2 linked regions of the Danio rerio genome follow. The protein of the gene in region 2 interacts with the protein of the main gene of each other region in a biochemical or structural test. Links are inferred from orthologs where the notes say so. Each region holds a gene or a part of one and is shown on either strand. Other genes may lie near its edges.

Region 1 (4,244 bases), on a different chromosome or scaffold from region 2:
GGTTCCTGAAGGGGAGAGGAGGTGAACTTAGGCCATGAAAACAGCAAACAAATCTATAGAGTACTGCTGTGCCACTTTCTATCACCAAAGTCATTTATTTGGATAAATGCAAAAGCACAATTTTGAAGCAAGTTTTTAAGGTTTCAAATGATAAAGCACTTTCCTGAGATCAAATGTTATTGGATCATGTGCTTAGGTTAGGTAATATGACAAACTACACCTGTGGTTATGCTACTGTGTCAGCTTGAGGTGAAATGACTACATACATCCATAAAAAAAGCACACATTAGGACCAAATACTTCCAAAATAGTGCTAGTCCACCTTGATTATTTTTTGATGTTATTTGCATTAGAATTAATTTAGTTATAACTTAGATACATGAATAAATAAATAAATAAATAATTAAATAAATAAATAAATTAATAAATAAATAAATAAATAAATAAATAAATAAATAAATAAATAAATAAATAAATAAATAAATTATTTTAAATAATAAATAAATTATAGAAAAGTTTTTTTTAAGGTAGCCCTTCAAAAATTGTCCAAATATTTCTGTTTATATATGCACTCTGCTCAGTCTCAAAGAATACAGGGTCCCTGACAATCATACACACATTAACCAGTGGTCTTCCATTCACTCTTTACTAGATAAGAGCAAACAATGATGTGTCTATAAGCATATGTGCATATAGAAAAAACAACAACTGTTTTTAATTATAATTCTTGCAAAGAGCACAGACATGTTTACAATTTGTAGCCATGTAAGATTAAACTGAACTAACAGCAAGATAACAAAGCAATTATAACAGAGTCAATAAAAGAGCAATTACTACTATACATATAAGTAAGTACAGTAAATTTATCTGCCCGAATAAAATCTTCATTTTAAATGAAAATTCATTTGAATTCACTATTTGTTTTATCACAGTGGTAAATGCCAACTAAAATCAACATTTAATGACTGATTGATTTATTTTTAACCCCACTTGCCAGCTCATCCTGATGGCCACTTGCAATTAGAGGTACAAGCGTGACTCACTGGTGAATTACTTGAGATAGTGAATCACATCCTCCAAGCACAAACAAGACTTTTGAAGGATGTGGTAATGACTAAACAGTTAAATGTTCGGTGCATTTCAAGTACATTCTTGTTGTTATAGTAACCACATCAACAACAAAAATCTAAATATCAATCCACAGCATTTCTCAAATATTAAAATTAAATCAAATTTGGGCTGATTAAACATTTCTAAACTGGCTTTCACCTCAGCACATTCAAATAAGCCTGTAGTGCAGCATATACATTTGCATTTACATTTAAGACAACCAGAGCGACTCTGTGAAGTGCATTAGCATTACATATAATAGAGCGTTGTGATCAACAGATGGCAAGCGTGTAATTTTGGAATGCTATCTGCTATAGGAAAAAAAGGGCTTCCTGTACAAATGCAAACAAGTGCTACTCGTACAATAAGCCTAATACTTGTACAGGCTATACATTCAGACTGCGACAGAGAGAAACTTTAAATGCACACAGCAAAGCACAGATTCTTTTGTCTAAAAACACCATGTTTGAATTGAGTAGAATAAACTTTTTTGACATAACATTATGTAGTTGACATTTCAAGCAGTGACAGCAGTGAGTCTTGCATTAATTAATTAAAAATATTTTACAATCCATCTACATTAATTAGAAATATGCACTTTAATAAACAAAATGTAAGTGCTGAAATAAAAAAAGATAACGTAAGGACTTTTTATTAAAGGAAAAAACTAAAACTAAACTCATGATGTTGATTTTCTCTTTATAAAATGGTTGTTATGTGTGAATTACACAGATAAACGTGTACTAAAGTACATGGTGTGCAAAAGTGCAAAGGTATGCAATACCTTATTTTGTGTAACACAATGCACAGCATTTAATAGGGGATAAAGATTTACTAAATCTAATTAACGGAGCTAATTAAAAACATCCCAAATTGGTTATATTGATTCTGCCGAAAAATAAAAACATCCTAAACAACACTTAGTTACTATGCTGGTCTACTATCCTGGTGTTCAGCTGTGTAAACTAAGTTTAAAAAATGTCCATATTTACTTTAACACCTGCAGCCAGTTCCGCTTTTAAGCAGTGCGTAAACAAGTGCGCAAAAAGTAACATGCTTACACTAAAAATGTTTACAAGCACGTTTAAACGCGTCCTTTCTAAATTTAGCAAAGGTAAAGGAGTCGCACACTGACCTGTTGCGGCTTTCTGGGTCTGCCGGGTCCCCTCTTCTTTGGCTCAGCCAGCGCAGGCTCGGGCTGCTCCTGCGATCCTGAAGCCTCGCCGGCGGCTTCCTCTCCGCGCGCGCTCATCCTGTGTGTGTGTGAATGAGATCCAAACAGAGTCTCGCGCACCTTCAGTTCCCGCAGCACGAGCTCTCGGCCGATCGGTCAGTCAGTCGGTCAGTGTCCCGCGCTCAGCAAAACAAAGCGTTCAAACCCGGTGCGCTCATGCAAAATATAAATTAAAGCGCGTTGTGTGTTTGTGAGAAGCACGTGCTGCGTCTTGGTTTGGAGAATTTGGCTCACAACACACACACACAGAGGGGAAAGTCTCCTGTGTAGAATTAAGTGGGGGTGGCTTTAGGAATAAAATAAGCCCGGTGATCGATTGCAATTTGAACGAGACATTCGCAGTGTGACAGTGCACGGACTGATCTCCACGCTACTGCGGATTCAAGAAATTGCGGGGAAAGACTTTACGCGGATTGGTTTGAGTAAAACAAAAAATGGGGGCATTTTAAATGCATCCCTGCTTCCCACACGGAAATAAGTCCACAGACTGGGGATAAGGATGAGGTATATACATTTAAAAAAAAAAAAAAACGAGAGAGAGAGAGAGAGAGAGAGGCGAAAATCACTTTTCCCGTGGGTGGATAACACGAGGAAGGAGGGGGCACGAGAGGCGCAAAAAGAGAGAGAGAGAAAAGAATTGGACAACTGCCAGAGAAAACATGAGAAATACTAAGAGGAGAGACCACATCGAGACAAACTCACGTGTCCAGCACCATTCATGTTACTGGCTTCACTCCAGCACGTTTAAAGACATAGCAGCACTGCTTCCTAGATTGTTTATTTGTTTTGTTTTGTTTTTTGTTTGATTGTTTGTTTGTTTGTTTGTTTGTTTGTTTGTTTGTTTGTTTGTTTGTTTGTTTAAAAAAATCGAAGCAATATGTAAACTTGCATGTGCTTGCGATTCTCATATCCCATACCTATTCATATAGTTTGCTTTAGATATACCTTTTAAGAGTAGCTTTACTTTTTCCGAAACAAATATTTAAGATTAAAAAAACCTATTGCCTTTGCCGCACAATGAGATCATTTCACATTTCAACACTTTTTAGTATTTTGCAATACACTTGAATTACCCTAATAGTAAAAAAAATCACACATAGAATTATTAATAAATTCACTAAGGCCACATTTTTTTAAAGGATATATATATATATATAACTTTATGGTTGAGAAATTTTCCAGCTGTATGTTTTCACTCATTAAACAAATCAATAATATAAGGGTTGGGAAAGGAGCAACAATTGTCTTTTTTTTTGTTTTTGTTTTTTTCCTAAAAAACGTTCAAATGACAGTTGCTACAAATTGCCACACAAAACAGAAACAGTATTATAGGTGCGAATATGCTTGGTTCACACCAGACACGAAGCATCGCATCAGTCAGGCTTGCGGGATGTTTTTTGCATATCTAAATTTTCTGTTCCAGTTTATTTTTTTAACTCGCACAGAATGTGCGATAGGGGAAAATTAAATGGCAAACACCTTGCACATTTTGCGTAATTTCGCCTCTATTCACACATTTGCATTAACTTTGTATGTCATCTATCCACATAAATGCTTAAATACGCATTCGACTTTGTGACTTTGTCACACTTTGTGCGTTTTCATTTATTATAGAAGAAAAATTATATAACAATTATAAAATGGTCAACACTTGATACACGTTATGTTTTCGTTCTTTTTGGGAAAAAAAACATGGCTTTCTCAATGCAATTCACAACTTTTTCCATTTAGTGTCTAATTCATATGAAATCGTACGATCTCATTCGTACAATTTAGTATGATTTGCTTATCCCCAATGATGGTTTGGTTTAGGGATGGGGTTGGGTGCCACGCCTCCTTTTAAAAATCTTACAGACTGAATTTGTGCGAATTCGTCACTAAACTGGCAAAACATGAAATA
Region 2 (3,515 bases):
TCCCACTGTTAGAATGAGAAGTGAAAGCTGGAGAACAGGTGTGTTTCAGGACACGGATTAGATCAAATGTAACCAGGAGGGAAGATAATACATTTCTACGCACACAAACGCATGCTTTTTGTCGGCAAAGTGCATGTGATCACTCATCCATCAATTTTAAAAAAAGTTATGTAAAATTATAATTTTCGTAAATTTAAAAAAAAAAAAATATTCGCATGCTGACCGCCGGGAAACTCCCGATCATCGATATATGTATATATGTTTATATATCTCTGGCTCTGGATGTCCAGTCCTCCACTGCACCTTGGTCTGCATCCATTTCAAAGGAGCGCTACCCTGTACTAAAATGGCGGCTCCATTAACACATTCTTTCCAATAGACAACAACAGGGTAGGCAACATCTAATGTCAATATCTATGGGTTGTAATAACTAAAACCCTTTTCCCGAAGTTCCTAAATGAAATGCCTACTTTACTAAATCCAATCAGCTTGCAGTAGAAAAAAAGCCGCGCCCACTTTTTGCTCATGTAATATTTAGTTTCTCTACGAACTGCGTCACAATTTAAGGAAAAAAAGGGTTGCAGCTTCCGGTTCATGCAGACTTTAAAACTTTTCCTAATTTTCAAATCCGTATTTATTGTTGTTTCAGTGATGAATGTAAGATCTTGGATTTTACTCCCAGGATAACTGACTCAAAAAAAAAAAAAAAAAATGTAGAGCAATAATTGTAGCGTAATTAGGCGGTTTTGTCTGGATTGCTCTAGAGACAATCAGCTCATCAGTCAGCGTTTGTGTTGAAACGGATCATCTGAGATGATTCTGGACATGAGGGATTGCTCGCCATTCAACGTAATTGCAACAGTTCCATAGCTGTCATTTAAAGCATTAAGCAGACCATCGCGCCCTCAGCTGTTTACATCTGGTTGCCATCGATGCAAGGGCCGTTGCCTGGCGCGTTGGAATGTTCATTCAAAATTGTTGGCCGTGGCTTGTATTTCTCCAATTGCGCAATTCTGATGTTTAGCTGTAGGCCTGTCTCAGATGTACTGGCATGGAATGTTCAGGACGAATCCTAGTCATGAATTCTTTCTTGGAAGGAATTCTCGCTTGTTTTTGTTGGGAATTATTCATCATCTGAATTTTTTTATTTATTTATATTTTTTGCAAAGCATTGGCACAGAAAGAACATGTTTTAATTTTTAATTTTTTGTGTTACTGTTGCCATTACAAGGTCTGATTTCATTACAAATCAGTTATCTTTACTACCTGTTTGATATAGGATGTAAAGCAGGTCTCAGACTGGACAAAAAGCAATGCATTAAATTCCATTTTTCCCTGCCATGTCTTTAAAATATGAAAATGTTCACTCATAGGCCACTTTATTAGGTACACCTTACTAGTACTGGGCTGGACCCCCTTCAGAACTGCCTTAACCCTTCATGGCAAAGATTCAACAAGGTACTAGAAATATTCCTCAGAGATTTTAGTCCATATTGACATGATAGCATCATGCAGTTGCTGCATATTTGTCGGCTGCACGTGCTTGCTGCGAATCTCCCATTCCACCCACTCCCAATGGTGCTCTATTGGATTAATATCTGGTGATTTTGGAGGTCATTTAAGTACAGTCAACTCATTGTCATGTTAAAAAAAAAAAGAAGTCTGAAATGATTTGCTCTTTATGGCATGGCGCGATGTCCCGCTTGAAGTAGCCATCAGAAGATGGGTACACAGTGGTCATAAGAATGAACATGGTCAGCAACAATACTCAGTTGCTCAATTGGTACTAATGGGCCCAAAGTGTACCAAGAAAATATCCCCCACTCCATTACACCACCACCACCAATCATTCTGAACCATTGATACAAGGCAGGATAGATCCATGCTTTTATGTTGTTGATGCCTAATTCTGACCCTACCATCCGAACTCGCAGCAGAAATCGAGACTCCTCAGACCAGGCAACGTTTTTCCTATCTTTGATTGTCCAATTTTGGTGAGTCTGTGCGATTTGTAGCCTCAGTTTCCTGTTCTTAGCTGGTCTTCTGGTGCTGTAGCCCATCTGCCTCAAGGTTGGACATATTGTGTGTTCAGAGATGCTCTTCTGCATACCTCAGTTGTGTCGAGTGGTTATTTGAGTTACTGTTGTCTTTCTATCAGCTCAAACCACTCTGGCCATTCTCCTCTGACTTCTGGCTCAGTTTATATTTTATCATTTTCTGACCATTCTCTGTAAACCCTAGAGATGGTTGTGCGTGAAAATTCCAGTAGATCAGCAGTTTCTGAAATACTCAGACCAGCCCGTCTGGCACCAACATGCCACATTCAAAGACACTTCAATCACCTTTCTTCCCCATTCTGATGCTCGCTTTGAACTGCAGCCGTTTGTCTTGACCATGTCTACATGCCTAAATGCATGGAGTTGCTGCCATGTGATTGGCTGATTAAAAATTCGCATTAACGAGTAGATGGACAGGTGTACCTAATAAAGTGACCTATGAATGGATATTATGCCCAGTATTTCTAATGAAGCTTCTGTGCTAGACTGCTGCTTCTGACGGCACTAGTGTTTACATGATCCTTCATCTCGTTTTACGCTTGAACAACTAACTAAATGCTTAAGTCTATTTAACTGATTGTATTTTAACTACATTACATCATCGATGCTGTAAGACAGGGGTGTCCAAAGTCAGTCCTGGAGGTTCTCCAGGACACCGGCCCTCCAGGACAGAGTGTGGACACCTCTGCTGTAAGAGGAAAGTTATGAAATAAAATTGATAGTCACATTAACCTTTCAGAAGTTTATCAATGGCTGAAAAACACTAGCTGTGCGCATTGCCCATTACATTTCCATTGTGTTTGTTGAAAGAGATCCTTCCCTTTTTCATCTTTAGTTAAGTCTGGGCGGTTTTGAGGTCACTCCTCCTGTGTCCTTTCGTCTGCAGTCCGGAGGGGGGCCGGTCTACATCAGCGGTCAACATTTTGTCAGTGAGTACCATTTGTCTTCTCTCATTGGTTAAAAAAGAAACGGACACATGCACTCAAAACAAAGAGTTCAGGAGGACCATTTCCCATGTGTGTCTTTTGCTTCTCTTGTTTGCTCTTCATCTCTCTGTGATGGAACGATTCTTTCTACCTATTGCAGTGTCCATGGGATTAATCTGACCCCGCTCTCTCTCTCTCTTTCTCTACACAGACTCAAAAGTGAATTATAAATTACCATGCGACTCCATTTATGCCTGTATAATCGCTTCCATATGTTTTGCTCATGCTGTTCAGACACTTTCAGCATGTCGCTCCATTCTGTGGATGTTAGCATTTAGGCCTGCCACTTACAGATGTCAGAATATTGATGCCTCCAACTCTGTGGTTTGCTCAGGTGTCAAGGAGTCAGATGATGAGGATGAGGAGGAAGAGGAGAACAACACTTCACCGGTGAAGAGACCGTCCAACATGACCCTCGCCAAAGTGCCTCAGGTGATCTGTCCTTAACTTCACCTTAAATAACAATTGATAC

What was found. The genes of interacting proteins can lie anywhere in the genome.
Region 1: the proteins of npm1b (region 2) and hmga2 interact in far-western blotting, tested with the Homo sapiens proteins (2 studies listed by BioGRID). The link is inferred for Danio rerio from reciprocal best matches to the Homo sapiens genes NPM1 and HMGA2.

What each region holds. Positions count from the first base shown.
Region 1 is NC_133179.1:13,434,517-13,438,760, forward strand, and holds the start of hmga2 (high mobility group protein HMGI-C), read right to left. Parts: upstream 2,815-4,244; 5' UTR 2,363-2,814; coding exon 2,246-2,362; intron 6-2,245; coding exon 1-5.
Region 2 is NC_133189.1:6,162,406-6,165,920, reverse strand, and holds part of npm1b (nucleophosmin 1b), read left to right. Parts: intron 1-2,892; coding exon 2,893-2,986; intron 2,987-3,377; coding exon 3,378-3,475; intron 3,476-3,515. UniProt on the Homo sapiens protein: Involved in diverse cellular processes such as ribosome biogenesis, centrosome duplication, protein chaperoning, histone assembly, cell proliferation, and regulation of tumor suppressors p53/TP53 and ARF.